Linked DNA regions of Ovis aries. The protein of the gene in region 2 purifies or fractionates together with the protein of the main gene of each other region. This does not show direct contact. Links are inferred from orthologs where the notes say so. Each region holds a gene or a part of one and is shown on either strand. Other genes may lie near its edges.

The links.
Region 1: the proteins of RBM28 (region 2) and REXO4 purify together in Homo sapiens (affinity purification with mass spectrometry; 3 studies listed by BioGRID and IntAct, with this or other methods). This does not show direct contact. The link is inferred for Ovis aries from reciprocal best matches to the Homo sapiens genes RBM28 and REXO4.

What each region holds. Positions count from the first base shown.
Region 1 is NC_056056.1:2,634,573-2,650,734, forward strand, and holds REXO4 (RNA exonuclease 4), read left to right. Parts: upstream 1-5,986; 5' UTR 5,987-6,032; coding exon 6,033-6,245; intron 6,246-8,213; coding exon 8,214-8,548; intron 8,549-9,771; coding exon 9,772-9,909; intron 9,910-10,094; coding exon 10,095-10,288; intron 10,289-11,025; coding exon 11,026-11,114; intron 11,115-11,917; coding exon 11,918-11,992; intron 11,993-12,698; coding exon 12,699-12,773; intron 12,774-13,169; coding exon 13,170-13,283; 3' UTR 13,284-13,997; downstream 13,998-16,162. Other genes in the region: ADAMTS13 (A disintegrin and metalloproteinase with thrombospondin motifs 13), read right to left, coding at 231-297, 628-735; serine/threonine kinase-like domain-containing protein STKLD1, read right to left, coding at 14,149-14,226, 14,346-14,425, 14,578-14,718, 15,760-15,888, 15,961-16,089.
Region 2 is NC_056057.1:94,213,598-94,229,182, forward strand, and holds part of RBM28 (RNA-binding protein 28), read right to left. Parts: intron 14,992-15,585; coding exon 14,919-14,991; intron 12,793-14,918; coding exon 12,683-12,792; intron 10,130-12,682; coding exon 10,056-10,129; intron 8,693-10,055; coding exon 8,557-8,692; intron 7,542-8,556; coding exon 7,477-7,541; intron 5,758-7,476; coding exon 5,599-5,757; intron 2,550-5,598; coding exon 2,400-2,549; intron 2,081-2,399; coding exon 2,006-2,080; intron 1-2,005. UniProt on the Homo sapiens protein: Nucleolar component of the spliceosomal ribonucleoprotein complexes.

The DNA.
Region 1 (16,162 bases), on a different chromosome or scaffold from region 2:
GACTCCCAGGGTCAGAGCCCCAGCTCGCCCGGAACACCCAGACCAGTCTTTATCAACTTGGCAGACAGGGCCAGAGTTAATTAAGAGCGACAGCGGCGCCTCTGACTTCCTCCCAGGACAGCCTCCAAAAAGTCGGGCCCCCTGACTCAATGGTGAGATGCCCCTGCCTCCCCCCACCCCCGGGGGCTCTGAGAAACTTCCCTTGCAAGGGGGCCCGCCAGGACACGTACCTTCAAAGGCAGCATCAGGGCCAAAGTAAGAGGTCACGTCCCCTGGCTCCAGGGCCTGCAGAAACTGCTGTGAGACAGAGAGACAGCACTGAGGAGTGAGGGGACACAGGGAGGGGAAGTGGGGGGAGCAGGCTGAGGGGCAAGAGAGGGGCCCTGGACAGACTGGAGTGGCGGGGACGGCATCCGCCCTCAACATCAGGCGCACAGCACTGAGGCCGACTCCATCTCCAGGGAGCCCAATTGTCCCCTGAACCCCGCGTTCAGACTTCCTCCCCCTCTGCCCAAGTGCTATTGGGCACCCCTTCACCCCCCAGGGAACCCAGCCCTGAGCCCTAGGAGAGTCTGGATTCTCAGCTCCCGGGCTCCCCCAGCACCACGGCCCCGCGGGCCCACCCACCTGCCGAGGATCAGGGAGCGCCCAGCAGCTCAGGAGGAAGAGCGCAGAAGTGAGGGTCCCCTGCATGCACCTCCCCAGCGTGGAGGGAGCCATGCTGCCTGCGATCATCTGCCGGAATCCTGGAGTGCTCCTGGAGTGCCGGGCAGGCAGGGCCTCGGGGCTGGACCAGGAGGCTGGGTTTACTCGCAGGCGCTTCCTCCCAGGGCAGGCGCTGGGGGACTAGGCGGCCTGCTGGCTCCTCCTGGCCATGCGCGGGGGCTGGCTCTGATTCAGAGGGCTGCCACCCAGCCTGCCCCTAGGAGCACGGGGCTGGGGTCGGGGATTGGGGAGGGGTAGGATTCATCTCCCAGCAGTGTGACTGCCGCTCCCCCAGGGACACCCTGCGCTCCCATCATCACCTCATTCCCTCCCTCTCGGCCCCTGCCTGGCCTGTGTCTGCATCCAGCAGGTGCTCACAGCACTGGGCTGGGGGCACTGGGCACACTCGGCGTCACAGGCTCCCTGATCCCCTCCGTTTGCTGGGAGGTTCTCAGGAGCGTGTGCCCACTCCCCCCGCCTCCAGGAGGCCTTCCCCAGCAGGAGGCTAATGAGGGAGGGGGCCCCCCTGGCCCGTGCCCACCTCAGCCCGCTTCGAGTCCTATTACACTAGAGGTGCTTGCCTGTCCATCTGGGCGCGTCCGCTTCCCCTCACAGCTGCCAGCAGCGGTCTGAGCCTCCGCCCTTTATCTGCCACGGGCATCCCACCCCAGTGGGTGCTGCTCTTGCCCGACTCCGTCTCTGGCAGTGCTTTCCGAGACCCAAACTGACACACCGTGCTCATCCAGCCATCTCATCAACCTGGGCTGGGATCTGGACTGGGCGTCCCACCTGGCCCCTTGGCTCTCCCTCCCCCCTCCCATCTGACGTCCTCACGCCCCAGCTCTGCCCTTAGGATGTCATGTCCACTGAGGCTCCAGGCCTTGTGATTGCCGTCTGGCCCCGTCAGCCCTCTGCCTGCCTCCCCAGCCCGCCCCCTGTGCTCACAGACCTTCAGCTACCCACCCCCAGCTTGCCGTCCGTCCCTCAAACAGCTCCAGTGTCCTGTCCACCCCCTCACCTCTGGTCTTCACAGTCCAGTTTCAGCCCAAACATCACCTTCTTCATGGCGCCATCTAACTACCCCTCCCCCCACGAGGGGTGCCACATTTAGAAAAAAAGTCAGGACAACAGTGGAATTTGAATTTCAGATAAACAACGGAAGTTTTTTTCTTTCTCTGGTGTACGGGTGAAAGTGAATGCAAGCAGGCAAAGTGGTTGTCTTGGGAGGTCTCACAAACAGCCGAGAAAAGAGAAGCGAACCACGAAGGAGAAAGGGAGAGGTCTGTCCCAGTGAAGGCAGCGCTCCAGAGAAGAGCAAGGAGGGGTAAGGAAGCCTTCCTCAGGGAGCAGTGCAAAGCCATAAAAGAAACCGGCGGAATGGGAAAGACTGGAGATCTCCTCAAGAATATGAGAGATACCAAGGGGACGTTTCGTGCAAAGATGGGCTCAATAAAGGACAGAAATGGTCTGGACCTAACAGAAGCAGAAGATATTAAGAAGAGGTGGCAAGAATACACAGAAGAACTGTACTAAAAAGATCTTCATGACCCAGATAATCATGATGGTGTGATCACTCACCTAGAGCCAGACATCCTGGAATGTGAAGTCAAGTGGGCCTTAGAAAGCATCACTGCAAACAAAGCTAGTGGAGGTGATGGAATTCCAGTGGAGCTGTTTCAAATCCTGAAAGATGATGCTGTCAAAGTGCTGCACTCAATATGCCAGCAAATTTGGAAAACTCAACAGTGGCCATAGGACTGGAAAAGGTCCGTTTTCATTCCAATCCCAAAGAAAGGCAATGCCAAAGAATGCTCAAACTACCGCTCATCTCACACGCTAGCAAGGTAACACTCAAAATCCCTCAAGCCAGGGTTCAGTAGTATGTGAACTGAGAACTTCCAGATGTTCAAGCTGGGTTTTGAAGAGGCAGAGGAACCAGAGATCAAATTGCCAACATCTCTTGGATCATAGAAAAAGCAAGAGAGTTCTGCTTTACCAACTACACTAAAGTCTTTGACTGTGTGCGTCACAACAAGCTGTGGAAAATGTAAAGAGGCGAGAATACCAGAACACCTGACCTGCCTCCTAAAACTGGTGTGCAAGACAAGAAGCAACAGTTAGAACAAAACATGGAACAACAGCCTGGTTCAAAATCAAGAAAGGGGTGCAAGGCTGTATATTGCCACCCTGCTAATTTAACTTATACGCAGAGTGCATCATGGAAAATGCTGGGTTGGATAAGTCACAACCTGGAATCAAGGCTGCCAAGAGAAGCATCAAGAACCTCAGATATGCAGATGATACCACTAGGACAGCAGAAAATTAACAGGAACTAAAGGACCTGTTGAGGGTGAATGAGAAGAGTGAAGAAGCTGACTTGAAACTCAACATTCAAAAAACTAAGGTTAAAAATACACGTGTATCCCATCGCTCATTGCAGCACTATTCCCTATAGTTAGAACACGGAAGCAACCTCGATGCGAAGGCAGACACTTCAACCTCTGAGCTACCAGGGAACTCAGCCACAAAAAGGAACTCATTTGAGTCAGTTTTGATGAGCTGGATGAACCTAGAACCTGTTAAACGGGTGAAGTGAGTCAGAGAGAGAAAGATAAATATTGTATTCTAACGCACATAAACGGAATCTAGAAAAATGGTTCTGAATCATTTATTTGCAGGGCAGCAACGGAGAAACAGACATAGCGAACAGACCTATGGACATGAGGAGGGGGGAGAGGGCGCGATGCATGGAGAGAGCAACATGGAAACTTACATTACCGCATGGAAAATAGAGAGCCAACGGGGATTTGCTGTCTGGCTCTGTGTCAACCTAGAGGGGTGGGGTGGGGAGGGGGATGGGAGGGAGGGTCAAAGGGGAGGGGAGAGATGTCTACCTATGGCTGATTCGTGCTGAGGTTTGACAGGAAACAGAAAAATTCTCTAAAGCAATTATTCTTCAATAAAAAATTAATTAAAAAATAAAACTAAGATTATGGCATCCAGTCCCATCACCCCATGGCAAATAGAAGGGGAAAAAGTGGAAACAGTGACAGATTTTATTTTCTTGGGCTCCAAAATCACTGTGGATGGTAACTGCAGTCGTGAAATTAAAAGACGCTTGTCCTTGGAAGGAAAGTTAAGACAAACCTAGACGGTGTATTAAAAAGCAGAGACATCACTTTGCTGACGAAAGTCCATATAGTCAAAGCTATGGTTTTTCCAGTAGTCACGTACAGATGTGAGAGTTGGACCATAAAGAAGTCTGAGCACCAAAGAATTGATGGTTTCAAACTGTGGTGTTGGAGAAGACTCTTGAGAGTCCCTTGGACAGCAAGGAGATCAAACCAGTCAATCCTAAAGGAAATTAACCCTGAATATTCATTGGAAAGACTGATGCTGAAGCTGAAGCTCCAATAATTTGGCAACTTGATGCAAAGAGCTGACTCCTTGGAAAAGACCCTGATGTTGGGAAAGATTGAGGGCAAGAGGAGAAGGGGATGACAGAGGATGAGATGGACAGATGGCAACATCAACTCGACAGATATGAGTTTGAGCAAACTCCGGGAGATGGTGTCAGACAGGGTAGCCTGATGTGCTGCAGTCCAAATGGTTGAAAAAAGTTGGACATGACTTAGCAGCTGAACAATAACAATGACGTCCTCAGGGCCTCCCAGGTGGCTCAGTGACAAAGAATCCACCTGCCAAGCGGGAGATGTGGTTGGATCTCTGGGTCGGAAAGATCTTCTGAAGAAAGAAATGGCAACCCTCTCCAGTATTCTTCCCTTGGGAAAGCCCATGGACAAGAGAAGCCTGGCAGGCTACCGTCTACGGGGTCACAAGAGTTGGGACGCAACCTAGCGACTAAACAAGGAGTATGCCCTCAGTGTTGTAGCTATTATATGGAACATATTATAGTAAAAATTATTCTTTATCTGAAATCCCTGTTTCTCTGGGCGTCCTGCAGGTTCTTTGGCAGCCTTAACCCTCCTCGGTCTCTAACACAGCATTTCATCTTCTCATCTTGGTGGCAGTTGCTAGGATACAAAATTGCTGATTTGGTATCTGAATCTCCCTGAAGGGCCCCCAGCACAGGTACAGAGGCTGGGATGGGAGCTTTGGGGAAATGCAGGCCTGGCCTCCAGGTGTTGTCAGAGCCAGGCAGGAGGTGCGAGTAACATCATTGTTGTCACATAACATACAACACTCTCACTCCTTGGAAGAAACGTTATGACCAACCTAGACAGCATACTCAAAAACAGAGACATTACTTTGCCAACAAAGGTCCGTCTAGTCAAAGCTATGTTTTTTCCAGTAGTCATGTATGGATGTGAGAGCTGGACTATAAAGAAAGCTGAGCACCGAAGAATTGAAGCTTTTGAACTGTGGTGTTGGAGAAGACTCTTGAGAGTCCCTTGGACTGCAAGGAGATCCAACCAGTCCATTCTAAAGGAGATCAGTCTTGAGTGTTCATTGAAAGGACTGATGCTGGAGCTGAAACTCCAATACTTTGGCCACCTGATGCGAAGAGCTGACTCAGCTGAAGAGACCCTGATGCTGGGAAAGATCGAAGGCAGGAGGAGAAGGGGACGACAGAGGATGGGATGGTTGGATGGCGTCACCGACTCAACGGACATGAGTTTGAGTAAACTGCGGGAGTTGGTGATGGACAGGGAGGCTTGGCGCGCTGCAGTCCACGGGGTCGCAAGAGTTGGACATGACTGAGCGACTGAACTGAACTGAACAGACAACACTTGTCCCAGCGCTTTATCCTTGTTATCGGATGCTGCTGGACTGCGGAGAGCCACCTGGGGTCGCCCCTCCCGGCCCTGGACCTCAGTGTCCCCGCCGCGTAGGCAAGACGGGCCGGGGTGGGAACAGCGGCCGGCGGACAGCGGCCCGCAGGACCGGGCGTCGGCTCCGCGCCCGCTGCTCCCCGGTCCGGCCGCCCAGCGCCCCCTGGCGGCCGCCTGCCGCGCTCCCCGCCGGCCCGGCCTCGGTGCTACACCAACAGCGGTCCCCCTCGCTCCCCTTCCGGCGCTCGCCTTTCTCGGCCCCGGGCCTGCCCTCAGAGACATCCCGGGCTTCTTCCAACCCGACCCGGGGCCTCCAACCGCGGACGCCGCTCACCAGGGCGGCGGCCCTTCTCCTCAGCAGTCGAGGAGGCCCGCCCTTCTCCCGGCTGTGTGGAACCAGAGGCGAAGGCTCGGTTTCTAGCCCGGTTGGGGAGAGAGAGAGCACTTCCCGGAAACCGGGGCCCACGTGAGGGGGACGCGTGCCGGGCGGCTTCCGGGGTCCCGGACTGCGGGCAGCCGGGCTCCGGGGCCGGCATGGTGAAAGCGAGGGGGCCGGCCGCCGCGCGCGCCCCGCGTGCCCCCGCGCCTGACGCTGGGCCCGTCAGGAAGCCGAGACGGAAGAAAAGGGCCTGGAGGAGCAAAGCGCGAGAAGCCGGTGGGGCGCCGGGGAACGACCCCGGAGTGGTCGCGGTGCGGCCCCCAAAGGCCCCGGAGGACTTTTCCCCGAACTGGAAGGCGCTGCAGGAGGCAAGTCCGCGGGGGGCCTACGGGCGGAGAGGGGGACGGTGTGTGGGTCCCGGGGGGCGCGCGGGCTGGAGCGGACCCGGGGAGCAGAGCCGATCGCAGAGGCCGGAGCGCGTGGGCTGCGGAACAGCAGAGGCTGCATGCAGAGGACCCTGCTGACAGTTCAGTTCAGTTCAGTCGCTCAGTCGTGTCCGACTCTTCGCGACCCCCTGGACTGCAGCACACCGGGCCTCCCTGTTCATCACCAACTCCTGTCCATCGAGTCGGTGATGGCCATCCAACCATCTCATCCTCTGTCGTCCCCTTCTCCCGCCTTCAGTCTTTGCCAGCATCAGAGTCTTTTCCAGTGAGTCAGCTCTTCGCATGAGGTGGTCAAAGTATTGGAGCTTCAGTCTCAGAGTCAGTCCTGCCAATAAACACCCAGGACTGATCTCCTTTAGGATGGAGTGGTTGGATCTCCTTGCAGTCCAAGGGACTCTTAAAAGTCTTCTCCAACACCACAGTTCAAAAGCATCCATTCTTTGGTGCCAGCTTTCTTTATGGTCCAACTCTCACATCCATACATGACTACTGGAAAAATCATAGCTTTGACCGTATAGACATTTGTCAGAAAGAAACATCTCTGTTGTTTAATATGCTGTCTAGGTTTGTCATAGCTTTCCTTCCAAGGAGTAAGTGTCTTAATTTCGTGGCTTCAGTCACCATCTGCAGTGATTTTGGAGCTCCAAAAAATAAAGTCTGTCACTGTTTCCCCATCTATTTGCCATGAAATTCTGGCAACACTGGGCCTTTAATCGGTGACCACTGCTACTGATCACTGAGTGCTTCACGTGTGCTTTAGACACTGCTGGATGAGCTGAGCTGATGTGTTCATATTTAACCTGAGACCGACTCTGAGATCTTGTATCATCTGCATTTTACAGATGAGGAAGTGGGCCTGACAGGTTAAGTAGATTGCAACCAGGTCAGCAGAGCCAGGAGTCAGACCCCAAGCCCCCTCCCATCAACTCCCTGCTCGTAATGCCACGATACCTCCTTGCCTTTCTGGGCCATCAGTGCACCAAGACTTGCAGATTACCTACCGGCCACTATCTCCTGGGTGCTGTCGTCGGCTGAGCTTCACTCGTAAACCGCCTTCGCCAGAGTCGGCTGCTGCTGTACAGCTGTTTTCTGGATGAGGAGACTGGGAGGGGTTGAGGGACATGGCCCAGGGTCACACAGCGAGCGCCTGGGGTGCAGGTGCACAGGGCTGGGTGGGAGTTCGCGCTCTTTGCTGCTGCCGACCCTCATGGTGTCTCCGCAGCCTCTTCTGAGCTCCTGAGATCTCTCCAGGAGTCTCAGAGTGGGTGAGGGGGAGCGCAGAGAAGGGCTTCTGAGACTGTTAACCTGCGCCTTAAGGGGGGAGTCCAGATCATTCTCCTGTCCTGACACATAGACCATGAAATTCCCTCGGGCAACCCCAGGGGTCTCAGACTTCCTGGGCTGTAACTCGGCCTCTTTCTTACAAGAAAGTAAAGCAAAAAGAAGCGAGCAGAGGGATGGATATTTGTTGTGGGAAGAAACTTCACGTTTTCTCTAATTCATACAAGAAAGGCAGTTCTCCTGTTGTTTAAACATCACAGGAACAGCTAGGTAGGAACTGCCTCCTCACTCAGCTGGTTGCCGCACAGCAGGGTCTTAACCGAGGGCGCTGGGCTGGGAGACCTCAGCCCTCCCTGGGGGAGAGCAGGGGTATGGTGGTCCACCCCGTGTCACTGGACGTGACCATCTCTTCCTGAGACCCTCACAGCAGGAGCAAACCAAGGGATCTGGCTGAGGAAGTGGCCCCCACGCGTGGGCTCGGGAGGAGGAGACTCTGAAACAACAGTGCGGGGGCGGGCGGCTTCTGGACACAGACGCGCTTCTTTCCCACCTCTGGTGTGCGATTCCCAAATCACAGTGCGTTGTGTATTTTGTTTTGGGTTCTATTAGCTGCTGAAACAAAGATCACAGACTCCACAAGAGCCTCCACTTCTCTCTCAAACGGATTCCAAAAAGCAGCCACAGCATGTCCAACAAAGTAGAAACTCGATCTCAGATAAAGCAAAGAGAGATGCGATGGGGATGGAAAACACAGACCCTGAGGTCACAGGGTCCTCTGGGCCCTCGGGATCACTGAATAGCAGGAAGATACAGGCGCAGCCCAAGGAGAAAGGGGCCGAGAAAAGGACCAGTGGTGACATTTCTCGGCAGCAAGGCGACATCAAACATAAGAAGCGGAAAGCTGAGGAGCCGACTGCCCCCTTGCCTCCAGCCCTGCCCACCAAGTAAGTACCACGGGACGTGATGATGGATGCGGCCTTCCCGGCCGCCCTGTGCCTCAGCCTCCTCCCCGGTCACAGCCACCGAGGCCTCTCTCCCTAAGGAGGCCGAGGCTGGTGGCCCCTCTGTCACCTTATCCTGGCGTTGTGGGTTTCTTCGTGGGTAATTCAGGGTGATTCAGCTAATTTAGAATTAACCTGGGGTAAGTCTGTCCCCCTAGAACGTAGGCAGAGCAGAGGCTGACCCTGTCCCATAGCTGCTGTATCTCCAGGGCCCTGAACAGGGCTTGGCACCTCGTGGGCCCCCAGGAAAGACTTGTGGAATGAACGAACACCAAAGCCAGAAAGACTTGAGTTCAAAACCGACTCCTGCATCTTGCCAGTTGGGTGGTTTGGGGCCAGTTCCTGAGGTGCCCTGAGCAGCAGCGCGGCAACCGGTGCTGGAGCTGAGGCGCCCCTGCTGCCCCAGTGCATGCCGGTTATGCAACAAAGCCTGGGTGTCGCCCACGCGGGACCGGTCAGCAGCTGCCTCTGCATGGCTCGGCAGGGGGTGGTGTGTCTGTAAGTCCGCCTGGCTGTGTGTCGCCGGGGGTTGAGGACGCAGTGGCTGAAGGTTTCAGGAGGCAGCGTTTCAGGGCCTGCGTGTGTCTCGGTGCTGGGCGCCCTCTTGGGAAAGAGTGGTCCCAGCTGGGCCCCGCATCGAGAAGGGGCCGTTGGGGTGCGGGGATGCACTGATTCAGTGACTCCCGAGGTGTGGTCGGGGTCAGTCCTGCGAGGGAGGAGCCTGAGCGGGCAGAGGCCAGAGGGCCTGTCCAGTCGGCCAGTGCGTCTCGGAGGAGAGGACCCGGCTGCTGAGCATCCCAGCCCGGGCGCCCCGTCTGCAGGCTCGGCACGGGGACGCTGCGGGCACCAAGGGGTGTCTGAGTCTCCATTTTCCTGGCAGCGTGTTTATCTGTGGTCCCTAAACGTCTGGTAGCTGTTCGTTCTGTCATTGAGAAGGAAACGTCACAGCCGTCACACCCGAGTAGGGGCGCAGGTGTGTTTCCGTCTCGTGTTTTTTGTGTTGCTCTGAGGTTCCTCCATTTTAGCTAAAGGGCGTATTTTTTAATTAAACGGGAAAGTGCCAAGGTGATCACCGTGGCCGGTGGCCAGGCACACGGGCCTGAGCTGCCCTGAGAGCGGGCCACGCTCGCCACCGCGCTCAGCCCGTTCTCCCCTCTGCCTTCTAGAGAGGACATCTGGTTTGACGATGTTGACCCAGCGGACATCGAAGCGGCTATCGGCCCAGAGGCAGCCAGCGTAGCGAGGCGGCAGCTGGGTCAGAGCGAGAGCAGCACCACGCTGGTGAAGGAGCGGCCCTTCGGCGGGTACGCAGGGCACACTCAGCCTCGGGGGCGGCGGGGGCTCTTCAGGAAAGGGCTGCTTCCCTCCCCTCCTGTCGTATGGGCAGGCAGCTCGGTGCCTGGCCGAGCCCAGTCCTCGGCACGGCACTGAGTGGTGGAACCGGGTCCTGGATCCCACCGGGTAACCTGGAGCCTTGGTTCCTCCCCAGGCTGACTAAAGCCTTAGCCATGGACTGCGAGATGGTGGGCGTGGGCCCCAAGGGGGAGGAGAGCATCGTGGCCCGCGTGTCCCTGGTGAACCAGCACGGGTGGTGCGTGTACGACAAGCACGTGAAGCCGACGCAGCCGGTGACTGACTACAGGACCGCCGTCAGCGGCATCCGGCCCGCGGACCTGGCGCAGGGTGCGTGGCTCAGCCGGGCACGGCCGCCACGGGGGCCCGGCAGTCTTTCCTCCCTCCCGGGTGGGTGGGCTTTGTGTTGGCCTGGCTGCCTCTCGGCCGCCTGACTGTCGGCTGGACCAGTGTCCCCAAACTGTGGTGTCGCTGGGCAGCGGGGACAGACAGGGTGTCAGAGGAAGAAGGCCGCTGGGAGGTGAAGACGGGCCTGGGGAGGCGGGACAGGCGGCAGGGTCTTCTAGACTATTGGGAAGCTGTGGGGACAGGGCGAGCAGCGGGAGGCCTGGCCTGGGGCAGGTTCTCGTAGGTTCCCTTGGGATCCCTACATTGGGAATGAGGTCGGGGGGGCAGGCGGAGGTGTCCCACCTTGGGACACATCCGGGGCCCTGGTCTGCAGAGTTTGCCCTTGGGCGAGCTGTGCTCGGGGGCCTTGAGATCTGGGGCCTGGAGGGATCCTGAGGGCGGGGGCTCGAGGCAGCTGCCCCCCTCCTCTGGGCGCGTGGTCTCTGCCGTCCACGCCTCTCGGATCCTGGAGCACGGCCCGTGCTGCGGCCTGGCTGCTCCTCGGCCCCAGGCTCTGCCAGTCCCGCCTGGGCCGGGTGGGCAGCCCGAGGGCACGAGCCCGGTTGGCGCAGCCTCCCCTTGGCCCGCCCTCCTGAGGCCCTGACCCACCCCGGGTCTGACGGGGCAAGAGCGCTCGCTCTCGGCGCGGCACTGAAACCTCTCCCGTGTGTGGCTTCCAGGAGAAGAGTTTGAAGTTGTTCAGAGGGAAGTCGCGGACCTGCTCAAGGGCCGGATTCTGGTTGGACACGCGCTGCACAACGACCTCAAGGTGCTGGCCCACGCCTCTGTGTCCCGCGGCGTCGGAGGAGCCGCGCGCGCCTCCCGCCGTGGGTGACGCGCCCACAGTGAGAGCCGGGGCAGGGGGCAGCTCCTCACACACCCGGGTAGACGGAGCCGTGGCTAACGCTGCCGCCCCGCCCAGCGACGGCCCCACTCCTCAGGGCAGAGCCCCCTCCCCAGGCGGGGGCACCCCCGGTGCCTGTTCCCTCGGAACCCCGGGCAGACCCCATCTCACAGGCTGGCCCACGGCGGGCGGCAGGCCAGCTTCGAGGGCCCCTTCCTGTGCCCCTGAGGGTGGGGCTCGGCCGTGCCCGCCAGGGTCTCTGCCCCGGGCCGCACTGGCCCGCCCATTGGGATGAGGTGCTTGGGCAGCACGTGCTCTCAGCTCGGAGGCCCTGGGCGCTCAGGCTCCCGCTTCAGCCCCTGTGCCCTCCCCACCCTGGTAACCTGGGCAGACTTGCCTTCCACCCTCTCCTGGGCCTGTCTCGAGATCGTGGGGGGCCCCGTTTCATCCCTGACTTTCTGTGTGTATGTGTGATGCAAACTCAAATACAGGACAAACGGTTGCTGGTTCCTTGGTGACTGAGTCTCCGCCTTCCCCACTTTTAAGGCTGTGTTTCTGTCCACGCGTTCTTCCTGCTGAGCATCACCTGTCCCGCGATAATCGCCCCCAGGAGTTCAGCCTCTCATCAGTGCTTTGTCCTGTCTGTGTGCTCAGTGTGGGATTCTGAGAAAGGGGTGCACCTTTCTGCAGATAGACACCAAAATGCCTGTCGTGCCTTCCTCCTCCAGGCGCTGTTTCTGGGCCACCCAAAGAAGAAGATCCGGGACACTCAGAAGTACAAGCCTTTCAGGACCCAAGTGAAGGTACCTGAAACCATGTGGTTCTGAAGGCGTGGTTCACGTGATTACGGGTTCTGGTCCCTGGAAGCTGGCTTCCTGGTTAAAGGTGTTTGGGTTTGGTTTGGTTTTCCGTTTTAACCTTTAAAACTAAGAGGAGGGACTTCCTACTTGTCCCGTGGTTGGGACTTGGCGCTTCCATTGCCGGAGGCCCAAGGTCAGTCCCTGGTCAGGAAACTGAGATCCTGCATGCTGCAGTTCAGCCAAAAAAAAAAAAACAACCAGTGAATAAATAAATGAGAATCACAGGAGAATTAGACATTTTTAAAAAAAGTAATCTTAGAGAAGACTTGGCCAACCCAAAGTTAGCGCCCCTGAGGGCAGTGGGCCCTCTCTCACCTGTGGTCACACCCCCAGCTGTGGGTCAGAAGGCACGTTGTGTGTGTTCCAGAGGCAGGGCCGCCGCCCCGACAAGCAGGGACCCCCCACGACGAGCAGGGCCGCTCCCCCCTGCCCATGAGCAGGGCCGTTCCCCCACCCACGAGCAGGGCCGCCTGGGGCCGACGATGCATAGTCCCTCCCTGGTCCTCCGCTGGCCAAGCGGGCAGTCACCAGCCCACACGGCCACTTTGCGTGGGAGGGACACTCACAGTCCCTTGGGTCAGTGCTCGGCGGGCCACCCCCTGCCCAGGCCCCACCCGAACGTGGCGACGCGCTCCCCTCTCCCCGGCAGAGTGGACGGCCGTCTCTGAAGCTGCTTGCAGAGAGAATCCTGGGGATCCAGGTGCAGCAGGCGGAGCACTGTTCAGTAAGCACGTCCTGGGTGATGGGGCGACGGGGCGACGGGCCTCCGGGTCCCGGGTGACGGGGCGACGGGCCTCTGGGTCCTGGGTGACGGGGGTGAGGGGCCTCCGGGTCCTGTCTAGATTGCAGACCCCCAAGGGCTGAGGGTGAGGCTGCGGGCCCACAGAGCCTGGCCCTCTGGGCATCGGGCTGGGCCCGCAGCCCTCCCATCTGCCTCCCGAGTTGTGTGGCATCCGGGGCCCCTCGTGAGCCAGCACGCCCATCCCTCCCGAGTGGGAGCCGCGTCAATGGTCATCGCCCCACGTCTGGCGGCAGGACTCGGGAGCTGTGGGATGGACGGGGGTGGGTGGCCACACCAGCCACCAGCAGGATGACCGTGGTGATGGCCCGTGTCCCCCAGGTCCAGGATGCACAGGTGGCGATGAGGCTGTACGTCCTGGTGAAGAGGGACTGGGAGAGCCTCCCCGGCGACAGGAGGCCCCCCGCTCCCGAGGCCCGCAGCCAGGACGCCTAGCAGGGCCCCGCCCCAGGAGACCGTTGCGCCTGCGGGAGCTGCAACCGCATCAGAGGGCAGTCGGAGCCCCGGAGCCCCCGGAGCTGTGACGCTGAGGGCGGGTTTCAAAATCACGGCAGCAGAGGCACGTGGTGTGCGTGCTGCTATGCTGAGCCTCTCCCACACGGGGGGCCCCGGGGCTGTCCCTGCGGTTCCCCGGGGCCAGGGCGGGAAGCATCTGGTTGTCTGACGGGTCTTCATCACCTTCCTCTGGGGGGCCTCTTTCCCTCACTGCTGTCGGCAACAGGAAGAAAGGAACACTGGGACTCGGGCATGGACCGCACAGCTGCCCCGTCGCCCCCTCATTGAGGGATTTTCTCTGCCACTCGGGGGCTTGGGGGGATCTCCTGAGGCTGGGGTTCCGCTCGCCCCACCCGTGCACACCCGCTATATTCAAGTTCCAGTTTAGAGCCCACAGCAGGCAGGGGGGCTCGGGCTGCCCAGTGTGATTTTCCCGGAGGTGGGCGCCCCCCGACCTGAACGGACGAGTGAGCGTGGGTGCCTGGGGCACCCCGCCCTGCCCCGCCCGGGGTGCGGGCTCTCTGAGGACAGGAACAGCCTTCTGCACTGAGGGGAGCGTGCAGTGCCCTAGGCTACACTGAGCCCCCGCCAGCCGTGTGAAAAGTCCAAAGCCACCACGAAGGTTGTGTGACATAAATGCCTGTTTTTACTTGAGCTGCGCCTTGTGGAGGCCCCGTGTCTGAGAGGATGGCTGGGTCTCACCTCTCCTGACGCCCTGCCCCCAGGAGACGCCCGTGGCACTGGGCGCCTGGTCAGGTACAGGTCGATGAGGAGAGGAGGGCCAGGCGGCTCCCCAGAGTGGCGTCTACCGGCCGCCCTCAGAGCTGGGCTGGGCGGCCGCCTCCAGTCTGTGGAGGACGCTGGCTGCGTAAGAAACGAGCTCCTGCAAGGAGAAGGCGGCTGGCTGTCCTGGACGGTGTCTGGGCGGCCCCCGCCCCGCAGGGTGTTCCGCAGCCCTAGCGGGGCCCTGCAGTGAGGCAGGGAGGGCCCACCAGCACTCACCAGGCTGGAGGTGAAGCGTCCGTGGATCTCCACAACCAGGGGCTGGATGCCGCTGGACGCCAGCTCAGACAGGATCTCCTCTGCGGGCAGAGGGGGTTCCTGAGGTGGGTGCGACAGGGCCGGGCCTCCACCCTGTGGGGCTCAGTGAGAAGCCCTGGGACTCAGGAGCATGGTGCCTGGCCCAGCGCATTCCTGCCCTCGCCCCCACCACAGCCGTGAGCCGGGTCCTCACTGTAGGCGGCCAGGTAGGCCAGCAGCAGGCACACGCTCTCTACCACCTCTGGGTCGTCACAGTGCAACTGGTAGGTCTCCCGGATGAGGTCCAGGCCGCCGCCGGTCTCCCTGGGCAGCACCACCTGCAGGGCGGCCAGCTCTGGGCAGAGGGTAGAGGGCGGCGTTCCCTGATGGGTAGGCCTCAGGGTCCTCCAGGAGATGGGGGATGGCCATACTGAGTTTGTGGGGTTGTCGAGAGCCCAGAGCGCTGTGGGCAGCAAGCCTCAGCTGGCTGAGGACACCATGGTGGCCCCAGGGACCGCAGCAGTCAGGCCTTGACCACTGCACACCTTGGGGGTGTTCTCCAGCAGAGGGCACCTGTCTCTTCACCCCAGCAGTCTCCCAGGCCAGGGGAGGGGGTGGCCACACGCGAGGAGGCCCGTCAGGGCAGGTTAGACCCAGCTCCTGATGCCATGTGATCAGGTCCCCTGGAGTCCCGGGGGAGGCAGACACCCTAAGGTGTCAATAAATCCTGTAACCCTAACCCAGACTCTGACTTGGGTCTGGCTCACTGGGTTCTGACAACCCAGCTTCTGTGTGCTGAGCCACGAGCCTTTTGCTCTCGGCTCCAGGCCCTGTCCCCAGCCAGTTTGATGGGATCCCAGATGGACTGGGGGCAGGCCTGCAGCCTAGGGTGTCTCCATCAGAAAGGGGAGACCCTGCCCCACCCCTGAGCTGCTCTAGGAGCGAGGGTCACGCCATCTAGCCTGCGTATCCAAGCAGACCAGACCTCACAGGCTGAACCACCCTGACGCAGCAGGCAGCCTTGGCCGGACTCCAGGCCCCAAGCATCTCTAGAGGGCTATGGTCCCGAGTCGAGTGCAGAGCCTGGCCGGGGGGCTAGGTGACGGCTGGGATTCCTGTGGCGGTGGGGTTCAGACCCCATCCGCTGTGCTGACTTCAGAGCCACACCTGGAGGAGCACTTCTGCTCACACCAAGTGTGTTCGGGCAGAGGAGGTGGTCATGATACAGGGTCACACCAGCAAGTGTGACGTGGGTGCAGAGGATGCGCTGGGACTGTGGGTGTTTCTTTTCCCTGCTTGAGTGTGGGCATGGTTTTGGTCTGTGGGCCACCAGCAGGCTTCACTGGGAGGCCTGCCCCCCGCCTCAGAGCGGCAGCCCTGCTGGGTCCAGGCTCACCGGACACCTTGGCGAGGCTGGCCAGCCCGCGGTAGGCGTTGTTCACCAGCAGAACTCGGTCCTGGTGCAGCCGTATGCTCTGCAGGAGCAGGTCCACCACCTCCGCACACTCCTGCTCCTGGATGCAGCCTGTGGAGGGGCCAGCACACCTGTGTCCAGGGGCCCGGCCAGCCCTCCGGCCCTGGGCCCCCAGCTGCTCACCCAGCAAGGACAGCAGCCACAGAACTGCACAGCCAGCTTCAGCCACTTCCGCATCCCCAGGGAAGGTGGCCAGCACCTCGGCAACGAGAGCCGGGGCTCTCTCCAAGGGGGCCTTGTTCACAATGATAGCTGCAATGGGATGGGGTGAGGAGGGGTCGCCCGCTTCCTGGCACGGGGAGAAGGGCCTGCTGTGTGCATGGCC
Region 2 (15,585 bases):
AAACAGGATAAAAAGAAAAAGTACATCTAGGCATATCATATCAAATTGCAAGAAATCAAGGAGAAAAATCTTTCCCCAGAGGTAGGGAAAACTCATTACCCACAAAGGAACAAAGTTAAGATTACATTGGATTTCCCTTATGTAAGCAAGAAGAAAACAGAATAAAGTGTTTAAAGTATGTGTGCGTGGCAGGGGAATCACCAACCTAGAGCTCTGTATCCATGTAATTATCCTTCAAAAGTGAAGGAAAAACAAAACTTTCCCAGACAAACAAAAATTAAAGAAATCTGGGGATTCTCTGGGGCCCAGGAGTTAGAACTTGGTGCTCTCACAGGGCCCTAGGTTTGATCCCTGGTCAGGGAACTAGGACCCTGCAAGCTGCTCGGTGAGGCACCTACCCACCTCCAAGAAACAATTAAGGAAATTTATCGCTGGTAGACTTGCATCGCAAGAAATACTAAATGAATTTACTAAGAAAGGCAAAATGACAGGTTAGAAACTCAAATCCACATTTAAAAAAAAAAGAAGAACCTTAGAGAAAAAAATAAATGAAGATAAGGAAAAGACATGAGGAGGAGGACATAAAGTATGTTACATATTTATTTTGCACAAGTGGGGTAAGACAAAGAAGATTCATGTGAAATCAATGCGATAATAATAATGTTATTCTGTCCTTTTCACCTCAGAAATCTAAATAGGCATAGTGGGAGAACAAAGATCTACTTTACGCCTCTTATGTGCCAGTCTCTAGTGGTAAGGGTACAGATGAAAGAATGAAGTGTCTACCTTTTAGAACTCACAGCCCAGTGGAGAAAAGAGATATAAACCAAGTAAAAAACTAAAAAAGAGCCTAAGGACGTTCATGAAAGCACAAGTAATAAAATCTTATCTCTTCTGAGAGAGGTGGGGAAATGCTACTTGGGGAATATGAGTGTGGAGATTGAGAAGTATCCCTGAGTCAGGGGAAAGGGGCACTTCTACACAGACAGACAGGTATGTACGTAAGTATAGACAACAAATAAGGCCACCCGAATTTTTTTTTAAAGCCAGAAGCTATAGAATCACCTCTGATTGAGGCAGTAAATAATTCTATAACTACAATAACAAAGCTGCCTTAAATAATAAGCAGAACCCAGATTTTTCCAACCTAGGGTAATGGTATGAATCACTGAAACTCCTCTTCTATGGGTCATGCTCATGATATACACCATAAAGACCCAGAACACAGCAAATGTGTGGTATATATGCAAGTTAAGGTACAGTATCGATGAGATCTGTAAGAGTTATGGTATCAAGAATAACCTGGCCTTCTATGTCCTGTGGCATGATGGATAGGAGAATAACTACTGACTGTATACTGACCATGTAGCTTGTGAGACAACTTACACATGTTAAACACAGATGATATTAAACCTATTTTTATAAACCAGAAGCTGAAGCTGAGGGGGGGAGTAACTTGCCAAGGAACTCAGAAAGGGGCAGAGCCTGAGTCTGAACATGAGTCTTCCTGTTCCCAGAGTTCCTCTACACTACACTAGATTAGAAACAGTACTGAAACTACCAGGCATCACACCTCTGGAGCATACAGGATGGAAAGAGGATTACGGAAGAGAGAGCTGAAATCTACAGGTAACGGACAACTTAACCTTGGCTATTAATTCTGACAGGTACCATCACCAAATACGGCAGTGCAAGCACTGCTGACCGGTAACAGCATCGGGCTGATTCTCCTCTCCCTTTCCTTCTGTGGAGCTATCACCAGCCAGCCCAGCAGAGGAGAGAGGGCCTGCAGAGTTCTAGGGAACTAAGAGGAAAGGGTACCCAAGAACCTAGCAAGGCAGAGACCTAATTTAAGGGAACAGAACCACAACTGAACAAAACAGGAGTTTAAATATGGTCTGAGAAAAAATTGAACTGTATGCTTAAAAACAGTAGAGTTTATGTGATGCATACATTACCAAAATTAAAAAAGCAAAGAGAAAAGAAAAAAATTTCAATTCTGTACCTGGCTGCGCTGGATCCTCAGTTCCTTGACTTTAAGTTTCCTTCGATCTTCCAAAGAGAATTCCACTATTGGTCTCTGCGACAGAAGGAGGCAGATTGTCATTCATTTGATTTCTTAATCTCTGCATGCAATGGAGCTGAGATGCTCGCCACCCCCGCCCCCACTACCCTCTTGCTTGCAAGTCAGAGGGTGCTGCTCACTTCCCTCTGCCTAAAGGCAAGGGGCCGGTTCAGCAAGCAGACTACCCAATTTAGAGTTCCCTCCAATCATCCCGTCACCCGAATCACCGCTCACTTTTCCAAGGCCTTGCCACTTTTACCCATCACACAAGTGTCAGAGGGCTTCCATAAATGGCCCCCGGAGCACAGGCTCCCCGCCCCAGGACAAGGCTCACCTTCTGCGGCCCGAAGATCTCTGGATTGTTGTTGATGTGGCGTAGGGCCACTAGGGCATGCTCGTGTTCCTGGAACTCTGCAAAGGCGTAGCCCAAGGACTGACCCTTAATCTTCCCGTAAGCTCCTTTCAGGTCTCGCATCACCCGACACTACCGGTAGAGTGAGGAAAAGAAACAGTCGTTAGAGGATTTATTTTTATTTTGATTAGAGACTAATTACTTTACAATATTGTAGTAGTTTTTGCCATACATTGACATGAATCAGCCATAGATGGAGGATAAAGATCCTTAACAGCTTCAACAAGAAATCAGGTTATTGAAACAGTCTTCATCTATATCACCATCACAAGAGTTTTACTGGAGTAACACTTATGAATGTCTGTGTTATTAGAATATACCTGAGAGCACAGAACACATTAAATAGGTATTTTCTTGCTTTCTAAGGGTTTACAAACATCCACACAGACCTCCAAATAAGCATGCAGAGAAACTTCCCAAGGAAGAATTTTAAAGGTAACTACTGACATGACAGCACATGCTAGCCGAGAGGTGTGTGGTACCTGGGGTGGTATATAGATCAGCTCCAGGCCTCAAGTGCTGTCTGCAGGTCTCCTCACTGAAGAAGTCACTCAAAAGAGATATTACTCAAGAAGGGAAGGATGAAGGCCTGATGGCTTTAGATAAGAAAGTTCTGGCATGAGGAAGATCCTGACCAACAAATAGCCTCAGAAATACAGGAAGGAGCGTCACCTGTATTTGCTCAGAGCTCAGATCTTCTCTTGCATGATTTTTTCCTAAAACTTTAAGCTGTACCAGGCATCTTGGGGCACCAAGGAATGGTGGGGTATTTTGGGAAAACTGACCATTTACGGGGTTTCACTCCTAGGAAACTGTGTTTGTCAGTAATGGAGAAGTCTAGGTATCAGGGACATGTGGATGCCGCATTTGGTATATGTCCAGTATCCACTCTGTGCCTAGAACGGTGCCATGTACTGCAGGGAAGTCGAGAAAAGCATTTTGGCAGCCAGACACGCTGCGCAGCCCTCCAGTTTCCTCAGCTGCCGCCCCTAGGCCTGGCCAGGTCTCGCCTCGATGCAGCATGGCACAGCACCCTCGACTTCATGCTCAGAGCCAAAGTGAGATCATTGGATGGTAAGACCATTCCAAAGGCCTCTAGTCCATTTTCTGGGAGCAGGTGATGATGGAGTCAGTGCACACCTGGCAGGACCATGGCTATTTAGCAACCTACATAAAAATGGCAGCTTTTGCCAATTTGAGAATTTACCTGCCTGGATCCAGATTTATTCTGGACCTTCAGAGTTACGACTGTGATGCCCAAGGCAAAGAAGCTGACAGTCTTTTGAACACAGTAGAAGAATGAAAGGACTGAGTCAGGACAGTACTGAGCAGGTGAAGTGATTACCACCCGTAGCTAGAAGAGGGGCCATCAAGAGATACTGGCCCACTGCAGATGGCAGACTGGCTGGGCACAGCATCGATGAAGTGGTATGTGATGAAGACTCACCTTAGCAAAACATTAAAATTGTACACTCAAAACAATGTGGAAATATTCTTATCCTCAGTGGGGATGTTACTAAATACTCCATCCCTTGGCACTACTGGTGGGTTGTTTTTATTTTTGAGATGAACATTTATATTAACCTGTGGCTCGTCTGGCATGCTTTATAACAGAGCCATAGAAACTGTGTCTTGATACTCTTTTTTTCCTTAGCTTTCTTAGTGATTAAGAAATTTGGATTGTATTTCAAAAGAAAATATAACTGATTTTTTTGCTGTTTAAAAATTTTTTATTGAAGTATAATTGATTTACAATGTTGTTAGCTTTCAGTGTATAGTAAAACGATTCAGGTATTCATTTAAAAAAAGAAAAGGATAAAATGAGGCTCTGATCTTCAAAAAGCTTACTATCTTAGCTGAACACTATACTTACACATACAAAAGATTTAAAGAGAAAATTCAATATAATGCAAATACTGTAAAATACACATACATGTCTCTAAGCAATGACAGGTGTTAGATATGCAGGCTCTTACTAAGTCCTGCAGATGCTGATGAGAAATTACATAACTGACTCTTATGACAGTAACTGAATGGTTTTACCAAGAGTGGTGGCAGCTATGTTCACATTCTCTCCTATAATTCCCTGAATAGCAATATCTTACATTTTGAAGAGGATTTCCAGGAGTAGGAAAATAGTTTATGGTGATGAATCAGAGCAAAGCAGATTCATAATACTGGCTATGCTACTTATTCAATAAACACTGATCAAGAGACAACTATGTGCCAGGTACTATGCCAGCAACTGGGAACAATGAGATGACACCTGCCCTCAAAGAGCTCAGTGTGGTTGGGAGAAATGACTGACGAACAATTACAGGACAGTGTAGTAATAAACGCCACAACAGGCATGTGGGGGTGCTGCGGGGGCAGGACAGCAGTTCCTGTAGTCATAGAGAGCCTGACTAAGTCTTGGTGTGAATTCAGAGTTTGTCTAACACAACTGCCGAAGACCCGAGTGACTCCCTGTGCTCACCACAGGGCACTGAGAACTTACTATAGTGCAAGAGCCTAAATGGTAGTGAAATGCTCCTCCAAGGAGCAGAGAACATAGATTATCTTCTCTGCAAGAAAACTAACATTACAGCACCTGGTATAATGCTGAGAATGCAGCAGGTACCCAATAAATGCTTGCTGAATTAAGTCATGAGCGCAGATACTTCTGCACATTCTGCTGCAACTGGTCAGATATGAAAAGCAGTTCTTAGAAGAGGGGAAAAAAGTTTTTTAAACCTCCCAAACCATGAACATCACTAAACTCAGTCTTGTCTGCTGACAATGAGCCCAAAAGAAAATCTGTCAATCTACTAGCACCTTGGGCATGCGCGCTCAGTCGCGTCAGTAGTGTCCGACTCTTTGTGACCCCGTGGATGTAGCCCGCCAAGCTCCTCTGCCCATGGGATTTCCCAGGCAAGAGTACTGGAGTGGGTTGCCATTTCTTCCTCCAGGGGATCTTCCCGATCCAGGGATCAAACCTGCGTCTCCTATGTCTCCTGCAACGCAGGTGGATTCTTTACTGCTGAGCCATCAGCGAAACCCACTAGCACCACAGCCTGAAATAAACATGCGCTCTGGCCCAGGACGAGCACCGAAGCCCCCAGTGGGCAGAGCCAACTCTCACCTCTTTGATGCGCACCACCTTCTCCCCTCTGGTGGCATTCAGCAGCAGCTTTCTGAGCTGTTTGTCATCCACGGCCTTTGGGAGATTGTGCAGGCACAGCCTGGTCCGGGAGACAAAGATATTTTGGTCCTTGAGTTTCTGATGCTTCAGCAGCTCGAACTGAAAAAATAACAAACTGTTAACAGTACAATCCACCCTTTAAAGATACAGGCACATAATTCTCCAACAGGAAAGAACCATGACCCCAATCCAGTAACCACACATCTAGAAAAGATAAGGGAATCACCCATGCTGCAGCCTTTTGGTGATGCCCAGCACATAGGGAAAGAAAGGTTCGAGGCGGCAAGAGGGCGGGTGGGTGATAAGATCATGGAGTCGGGCTGAATTTGAGAAGTTACGTAACACTTTTTAAGCCTCAATAATTTCACCTACAGGGTAGAACTGCAGATCAAAATATGATACCAATTTTTCAGTACTGATGTGAGGCTGAAATAAGGTAACATGCATAAAATCCCAAGCTCAAATCTGGCCCAGAGCAAATGATAAACAATACTGTAGTTAACATCTATGCCAAGTCCTTACCTATCCACCAACTCAAACTGATTATTTACTCCTTCCAAAAGGAGATGGATTTACTTAAAGAATACGCGACAGAATACTGTCTTGTCTCAACTCTGCCACCTTGAGGCAAAGAAACGTCAATAGAAACAAACAGTTTCCAGAGCCTGACCTATGTTGCACAAAGCACTGGCCCCAGGACAACCTCTCTCTAAAGTGAAAGGGTGACCTTCTCCTGACTTGTTTCTTAAGAGCAGCTCAGCAGAAAAGTTTTAAGCTAAACTTTTATCAAGTTTCATTTTTGCCACTTCTTACTTGGTAAAGATACTATTACAGAAACTCACAAAATAAATACCCTGGAAATGAATATTAAAAGGGCTATCTGAAGGGTTATCGTGCTTAAATTCAACAGTGCGATTTTTCTCCCAGGAAAAGCTGTGTCTGCTGTTTAATTATAATGCATATAATCTAGTGAGCCTTTTGCTAGGAAAATTCACTTTAAGGAGAATTAAATGTGTCACTATCGCACTGTGATCAGAAAAGGGCATTCAATGCCCCCACAGACCATGATCTCCAGATGCTCACTACCAACACCTGTTGAGGACACCAGTCTAGAGCCTGCACAGAAAAGACATGCTGCCTCCAGCCGTCACTATATTCTCATCTCTGTCCGTCATCTTTTGCACTTCCAGGCTCCAGAGCTAATTCTATTAATGATCATGCATCTTTACCATTCTAGGCTGGCTTAGCTTTGTGAAAGTAAACTATACGGGCAAAAGCAAAAATTATTGGAACAAAGATTGCTAAGCAGCAAAGGAACTCAACAATATTAGTTATCACTAGAAATCCCATAGTATGGGGTTTTCCTAAAATGATTTCATAATCTGGAGATACCACCCTCCCTCCACCAAAATACATCCTATCTTTCCCTTCCAAGACACACATCCACACTTCCCTCCCTATTTACTCTAGCCCACACTGACCTTCCTTTCTCATATTATTCTGCATTTATACTGACACCTAATTATATATAGCCTGAGCCTCTGTCTACTTCATGATCTAAAAGCATACTATTTGGCAAACACATACTGTTGAGCATTACAAAAACAAAGAATAAGACCCAGTACATAATGTTGACATGGTATGATGTATAACGTCAGGTTAGTGGCTGTTCCACCTGTATACATGTTTTCCAACAATAGTATAAGTAGCACCTGTGACCGATACTTGCTTGGCTCTTTGATGAGCACCTTTAGCATTATTATTTATTGATTTATATTAAGTCCTGCAGAACCTGAAGCTGGTGCCTAATCTACTCACTCGTTCTCTCTTGGCCATATCAGCAGCGCTCACACCCTCTGCAGCCTTCGTCCCAGCGCGAATCACTGCAGAAAGAGGGAAAAAGGCCAAGACATCAGCAAGGGAATTTTCACTGAGCAATAAGAGGAATGTGATGTGAATGATGCAAGCTCTCTATAGAGGGCCCAGAGGACTATGCTGGCCAGGACACAGTGGTTATCTGGGTAGGTCCAGAAATAGGCTACAGGGCTAAGTTCTTGTCTATGAGCTGCTCTCAAGGACTAAAACTCTGAACATTTTGTGATTTTGTTCTTCTTCTTCCTTCCCTTCAAAAAATTTCATGTCGTGCCCAAAGTCAGATGGGAAGGCCTAAAGGAAGTTTGGAAATAAGTACATTTTAGGCATTTGGAATGCCAATATGCTCTACCTATGACCTGTCCTTGGAAATCTCCCTGCTAATGTATTTGGGAGCCATTTCTAAGCGGTGAGATAAGCCAACCAAGAGAACAGCCACACTGTATAACACCAGGCCCGGCCTCCAAGGTTAACAGCCTCCCATTTGCTAGTCCGGGCGGTAAGGTTGTGCAGCAGGTGGCAGTACTGTGTGACCTAAAGGAAGGAATTCTCCTTTTGTCTTAATTAAAGCTAATTTCTGATTATCTTTCAGACACTAAGGGAAAGGTGCTCAGTGCATATTTTAAATCCATAAGTAATCCAAAAGAGTAATTTTAGTCATAATTTTCAACTCCTTCAAAAAACCTATCAGAAATGATGATAAGGGACAAAGGTACTTTGGGTTTTTCCTCCCTCTGATGAAATAATCTTCTGATGAAAAGGTCTAAAGACAATCAGTCAGAAAGGAGAATGGGGACTGGCTAACCCATGAACTGGGTGAAGGCTTCCTAACAGAAAGCTGTGCTTCTGTTAAAGTGGACTATCTACTACATCTGCTAAAGTACAATAATAATAGTATACCACCATTAAAGAGGCTGCAGGGCTTTTAATTTGAAACATGCTCCAAACATACTACTGTCAGGTTGCTGTCATGGCAAGTGGCCAGCTACTCCAGAGCCTGGTTCCCCTCTCCCTGCCACTACTCACAGCCTTCTCGCGCCAGGTAGAGGTTACGGGTCCCAGTCGGCTTCTTCACCTTCTTTGTCCGGAGTTTTGCAGCCTCATCACGGGTCACTGCCAAGTCAACCTTAAGCTGCCGGCCATCCAGTTTAAGTCCGCCACCCTGAAATAGATTGCAACCTCTCTCTTAAAATTCATGATGATGGCATTGTAACATGTATACTATCATGTAAGAATCGAATCGCCAGTCTATGTCCGACACAGGATACAGCATGCTTGGGGCTGGTGCACGGTGATGACCCAGAGAGATGTTATGGGGAGGGAGGTGGGAGGGGGTTCATATTTGGGAACACATGTACACCCGAGGTAGATTCAAGTCAATGTATGGCAAAACCAATACAGTATTGTAAAGTAAAATAAAGTAAAAATAAAAATTAAAAAAAAAAAAGAAGAGTATCTTGGAGAAAAATGACTTTTATGGGTGGATGGAGAATAAAGACCTAAAAAAATACCAAGAGTAAAAAATAAAATAAAATAAAATAAAATTCATGATGAGCAGAAACTAAGCACCTGACAAGGAGCACCAAGGAAAGGGAAACCAGCAAACCCCCACTGTTGTGTGGACCCCCGCTGCTAGGATGTTTTAGGCCAGCCAGATGCAAGTGGATCACTGAGCTGAACAGTATTTAGCACAGCTATGCAAAGGCCACATGTTCATTTGTTTTCAGGGAGTTGATTAGTCCCAAAGTAGGACCAAATTAAGAAAAACGATCTGTAAATAGGCAAATTTTTAGTATGCTAAAGAAAGCTAATGAAATAGTAGTGATAACTCTACTCATGAGAATTTAAGAGACAATGGCAATACACGATAACTCAGCTCAAAACAGTTTATACTTGGTTATAGAATACACAGAAAAATTCTCTATCACCTACACACTTTCTCTCTCAAACATTTACTCCACTTCATAGATGGCCTTAATCCCTTCTTGTCCCAGTCTTTCACACCATCAGCCTAGGATAGAGACTGATATAAGAAACTGACCCATAATATAAATTATTATACCTACTTCCTCACCTATAAAGGATTACTCATCTTATAAACACCTATAGGACTGATGTGAGGATTAAACAAGGTCATGCGTGTAAAGCTCAGTGCCTAACACACACTGTGCTGTGCTTAGTCCCTCAGTCATGTCCGACTCTTTGTGACCCCATGGACTGGAAGCCCACCACGCTCCTCTGTCCATGGGATTCTCCAGGCAAGAATACTGGAGCGGGTTGCCATGCCTTCCTGCAGGGGAGCTTCCCCACCCAGGGATCAAACCCAGGTCTCACGTATTATAGGCAGATTCTTTACCATCTGAGACACCAGGGAAGTCCTAACACACACTATGTATTCAATAAGTCTTAGCTTTATTATTTTCATATCATTGACAATAATAATAATAAAGTTTTGTGGAAGTATCAGCTATTGCCCCTGGAAGGCAATCACCTAAATTACAGAATAAAGGAAATGTTTTCCTTACCTCGGCCTCTGGAGAAGCAGCTTCAAGGCATTTTTGGGCTGCTTCTTGAGTCATGAACTGGGCAAATGCACAGCCTGCACAGAGAGACAAAACTAAGTGGGATCCCAGGCTCTCACGGCCCACCTGGAAGCCAAAGACAACACTATGCATGGTGGCAGCCTGACATGAAGCGGAAGGGGTAGTAGCACCCTTGTGTTAAGTACAATGAAACTTAACTAAAAAGCACTGTGTCCAGCACCAGGGGTTCAAGACAGGCAAGACAGCACACCTGCTCATAATGAAATTTTTTTATTATTGCCTTCATCTTTTCTAATGCTTCTTAGAAACTTTAGTCGTACCATCTCATGCAACGAGATATATCCGCAAGAAATACTAGAGAAATCCCAGCCTAATGTTTCAGTGTCACATTCTACGTGCTTGTTAGAGGGCTGAAAAGAAAAAAAAATGAAGCAGCAATCACTTAAGCCTGAAACTACAGATCTCACTGTCATCAGATTCCCTAAGGAGGGATCAGATGAGGGCAAGTCTAGTTCCTGGAGTAAAAGTCCCTGGCCTCTATCCTGTGAATATAGTGGTGAACTGGAAAGTCATGAGCTCAGCTTTTGACTCCTGCTATAGAATTTCCACAGGCATAACTTTCACTGGTTAGAGGCAGGACCTATCAACTATCCTAATCTTTTGCTTTTGATAAAAAGCAGCTTTTATAAGGAAAAAAAAAAAAGTTGACTTTATAGTAAACTAAAAAAAAAAATTAAGTTCCATAATATTTTGTTAACATTCCTAAAAACCTTAATTCTTCCCTCACAGAGGAAGGCAGTGCCATATTTCCTAGAGCTACTGGGGCACTGACCTTTTGCCCCTCTAAGAATGAATGGCAGCCAACTAACTGCAAGGACGCATGTGGCAGGCCAAAGGCCTCGTCTAGTGAGGTCTTCCCTGCCTCCTGCAGGCAGAGCTAAGTAAGAACCCCTGTATCCCCCCCCTGCCCCTACACTCCACCCCAGCCATCCTCCACTCCCATTTCTATTATGGATGTCAGGGAGCATCTTCCTCAAAAGACTTGAACGTCTCAGGAAGAAAGCTCATGTTTCTTGGCTGTTTCTACATCCAAAGTATGTACCATAACATCCACCATTAGAAGATACTCAATAGGAAGCAACAAGTAAAACAGAAAGAAGTCCAATGTGAAGAAAATGAGGTGGGTTCTTCTCTCTGAATGGGTAAGAATGTTACCATGGGAATTTCCAGGGTATCTACTGGGTCAGTTTTAACACTTCCCCAAAAGTCTTCAGATAATACTTAGCCCTTCCAGGCAGCAAAATAGCAGCTAACAGGGATGAGGGGTAGGAGGCAGCCAAGGCTGTGTGAGTAGGCAGAAAGTGCCAGGAAAATCTAATATGAGCTAGGGAAAGACAACATATCATGGAAAAAAAACAAACTATGCTCATTAAAACCATTAACTCTCAGCTAACATTAACAGACCAAGAAAGAGATTGAGCAATCAACCACAGACTCCATTCTAAAAATGTCAACCCAATACATTAGGGCACTCAGAAAGAGATAAAAGAGATGACCAAAGTCAAGCAGAATCAGACAGTACTTGCAACATTCTATGCAATTCTAGTTGCCCATTTTCAGAAAAATAAAAATGGAGAAGGTCCAAGAGGTATAATTGAGTATCAGAGCTAAAGGCACCTTAAGTGATTACTCTAGTTGAACCCACTCATTTTACAGATAAGGAACGGAAGCCCACAGTGGTTAAATGGGTGCCAAAAAATCACCCAGCTGGTGATTTAGCTGGGATTAGACCCCTAACCTAACCTTTCCATTATACTACCTCATTTTACATCTTCTAAAGCTAATGAAACTAAAAATGATCAGGTTTCATCAAACAGGAAAATAAGATTTAGAATGGAAGTAATTAATCCATAGATAGGCTCCAGAGAGCTCCAAAACACTCAGAAATGGCATTTTTATGAGGATAGGGTTCAGAGTTCTTGCTAGATCTCAAAGGGATCAAGAACCAGAATGAATTAAAAAGTCACTGCTTTAGCAGAACAATTGTACTTGATAAAAATCAAAGATTATGAATGGGTTGAAAAGATGTTTATCTAACAACAGTATATTAGAATGAGGAGTGGTCAACCTTTAGCTCAAAAGAAACAGCTTAGGGAAAAAAAAAAACAAACCAGCACCACCACTAAGGCAGCACTTCTGCTTTTCCTTTTGACTGTTGGCATTGCAACAAAGTTTCCATCAGCTTCCCTCACTAACAAAAGCAACTGAAAAATAGCTCCCTAATTTCAAGCACTGTGGAATGATTAATAGCCATGAGATGCTATCACATTTGAAATTCAAAGAACAACAAATGGAATTCATTACCCTAAAGTAAATAAGCAAGAGCTTAAAAAGCTTAGACAAAATTACAGCTGGCAACACCATGACAGATGCTGAGTTTGACATCACTGGAAAACAACCTCAGAATGTCCTTGGTGCTTCTATGGATCACAGAAACCTGGATGATGGTGGACCCCTCGGAGGGCACACATTATGCCCTCATGTAACCTAGTCAGTGCCCATGGCAGTGGTCTCAATCCTTTTGGGCCTAACCAGATGACAGCAAATACCTTTAGAATGCTCTGTGTCTGGATGCAAGACAATACGGACATATTTAAGATCTCCAAATTGCTGCAGGAGCTCTCCAAGGTCTTCTTCCTCTGAGTCGAAGGACAGGTTTCTATGGAGGACAATCAGGGAACAAGAGAGCTCAATTACAAAAGTGAGACCCTGTGCTCCAGTACAAGATGAATGAGTCAGACATCATCTGGAGTGGTTCCTTGGAACCACCCTCCCCAAGGATAGCACCAAGGGGTGACCCCCGCTAGCCAGGCCACCGATGTATGACTCTGGCCATTGGCCATAACCGACTGAACGTCCTCTGTTAATCAGATTCTCTCTCCCAGGAATATAAAACTTGAACACACATATACAAAGACCGGAAGTTGCAGATACAGATTTATCTCAAAACAGCTGTGTGGGGAGCTGAACATGTTCTGTAACATATATATGTATCTCCACATATAAAGGTATATGTATATCTGTGGCTATATATATGAAAAATGTCACTGGGTTGTACACATACTTTACAGAATACATGTTATACCTTAACAAGGGATAAAACAAGAATGAGTGTCTTCAGAGAAAGGATCACACAGTCTTCCACAGCAAAGGACCCAGCAAAGGTCCCTTTTTGAGGTTTGCTCTTTGACAACTTTGATTCTGTGAGCTACCCTAACGTTCATCCGACAAACCAGGTTTTTCACTTAAATTGGCCAAAATTAGTTTCCCTTAGAACCAAAAGACTGACAGCAAATGAGAAATCAAACATCTCTCAATGTCTCCTCTGTACTCCTATGAAATCTCGGTTTCAGTTAAAACTTTACAAAAGTCAGAAAATCTTTCAAAATAGTAACTCAAAACCAAACATGGTAAAGTTTATTAGCTAAGTACAAAAAAAAAAGCGGGGGGAGGAGGGGAGATGGGATCCCTTGATGGGATTAAAAATGTTAGGAGACACTGTTCTACTAAATTTCAACACAGTGTAAAGGTTCTTAACCCAGTTATACACAGCCTTCCAGGGGCAAGAAAAAGAGTTCCAAGTAAATATCTACAATTTTACTTCTCTTTTGCTCAATTAACAGCTCCATAAACAGTTTTATCTTATTGAGCAACCAAGATAAAAAAGATTTTCTGCAATAAGACACATCCTAGCTACATTATTGCTTCTAATTTGCCTCATCGTGTTCATAGCCTTCTCTCTTCCATCCCTTTACTTTCCTAAGTTCTCTTTAAATTAAAAAGATGTATAAGGAAGGGAATCTTGGTACTGAGGTCACAGGCTTCTAAGTGTGACATTCCTCATTCCTATTACACAGAATCCTCTACAAACATGAAATTGTTTACATGGAAATTCCAAATAACACAGAAGAAAAAAAAATGGAGACGTGCTATAAAGGAAGAAAATGGGCTACAGCACAGCATGTATAAGCTGAAATCATCCTTGTTAAGTATTTATGATATGAACACATGAGTGGGTATTCCTTGAGTAGTGATGAAAAGTTAATTTTGTGCATATGTCTTTTTGCCTATTCATGTCCTAAATTTCCCACAATAAACATAAATTACTTGCATAATGAAGACCATCTTTAAAAGACTGTACAAGAGAATAAAACAGAAATCTCTAAAATAAGACCCAAATAGCCCGAGCAAAAATGGTACTCAAGAAAGGATGAAAAGGCCATTGAGGGGTGCCAAGGACATCCCGACTTCCTGAAAATGCCAACCTACGGCAGTCAGTGCAACTGAAACAGCAAAGGCAACATTGACACGGTATCCCCTTCTCTCGGTTTTCCAGGAAACAGACAGGATGCTTCACTTTATGGACATGACTTTAGATCAGTCAGGCGTGAGGAGAGAATTAGGGACAAGAGGTACAATCCCTCCCCAGCACTCACCCTAAAACAAAGGCCAGAAGCAAGACGCTTCTATTAATAATAGTTGAAGAATTCATTTGTTCCAATGACACCACCCCAATTACAAAGAATAACATCTAAATGGGGACAAGATACAAAGACCCCTGCTGCTTACCTCCTGTGTATAGTTGATTCTCCTACACGTTTCTCAGTGGTGCTACGTTCCTAGGCAGATGTGCTGATGGTCTTACATGCATCTAACTTTTTGGCCTAGCTAACAGAATTAGTGAAAAAAGAAGAAGAAGAAGAGGAAAGGAAGGGAGAGAGGAAGAAGAGAAGAAAAACTTATGAAGGTGACAGAAACAGCAGTTCTCCAGATAGAAAGTCATACCTGATAAAGACAGTCTTCCCTTCATTCACATCAGAGGGTAATTTCCTCTTCTTCCTCTTCTTCTTTGAGACTTCTATATTCAAAATAAAAAGAAAAGCAACAAACTGAATTTAGGACTAGTGCAAGCCTTACAACAAAGAGCTAAGTTGTTAAATATATAAAGATCTTACATAAATTAAGAAGAAATCCAATTAAAAATGAACAAAGGATATGCAACTAAATATATGAAAATGCTCAAATTCACTCATAATTAAAGAAAGACATAGCACCAGAAATGAGATATTATTTTTCACCGAAGATTGGCAAAAATCAAAAAAGACAGATGAAATTCATTATGGTAAGGGTGTGGGGGAAAATGAGAGAGAAAGAGATTCCCCTACACTGTCTGATGGTAAACTTTCTAGAAATGTAAAATGTAGAACATCCGAAGAGAAAAAAAAATACATTCACATAGACAAATATACATTACACTGTACACCAGTGCATATACATTCATGTTTTAGCTTACAGAAGTATTATATTAGCTATCCTCAGATACACAAGAAACCCTGGTTGTCTGGTGGTTTACTTGCTAAGTTGTGTCCAACTCTTGCGACTCCATGGATTGTAGCCCATCAGGTTGTTTCTGGGAAAGGGCCTTAAGTGGCTGTGGATTTGGGTTTAAGGG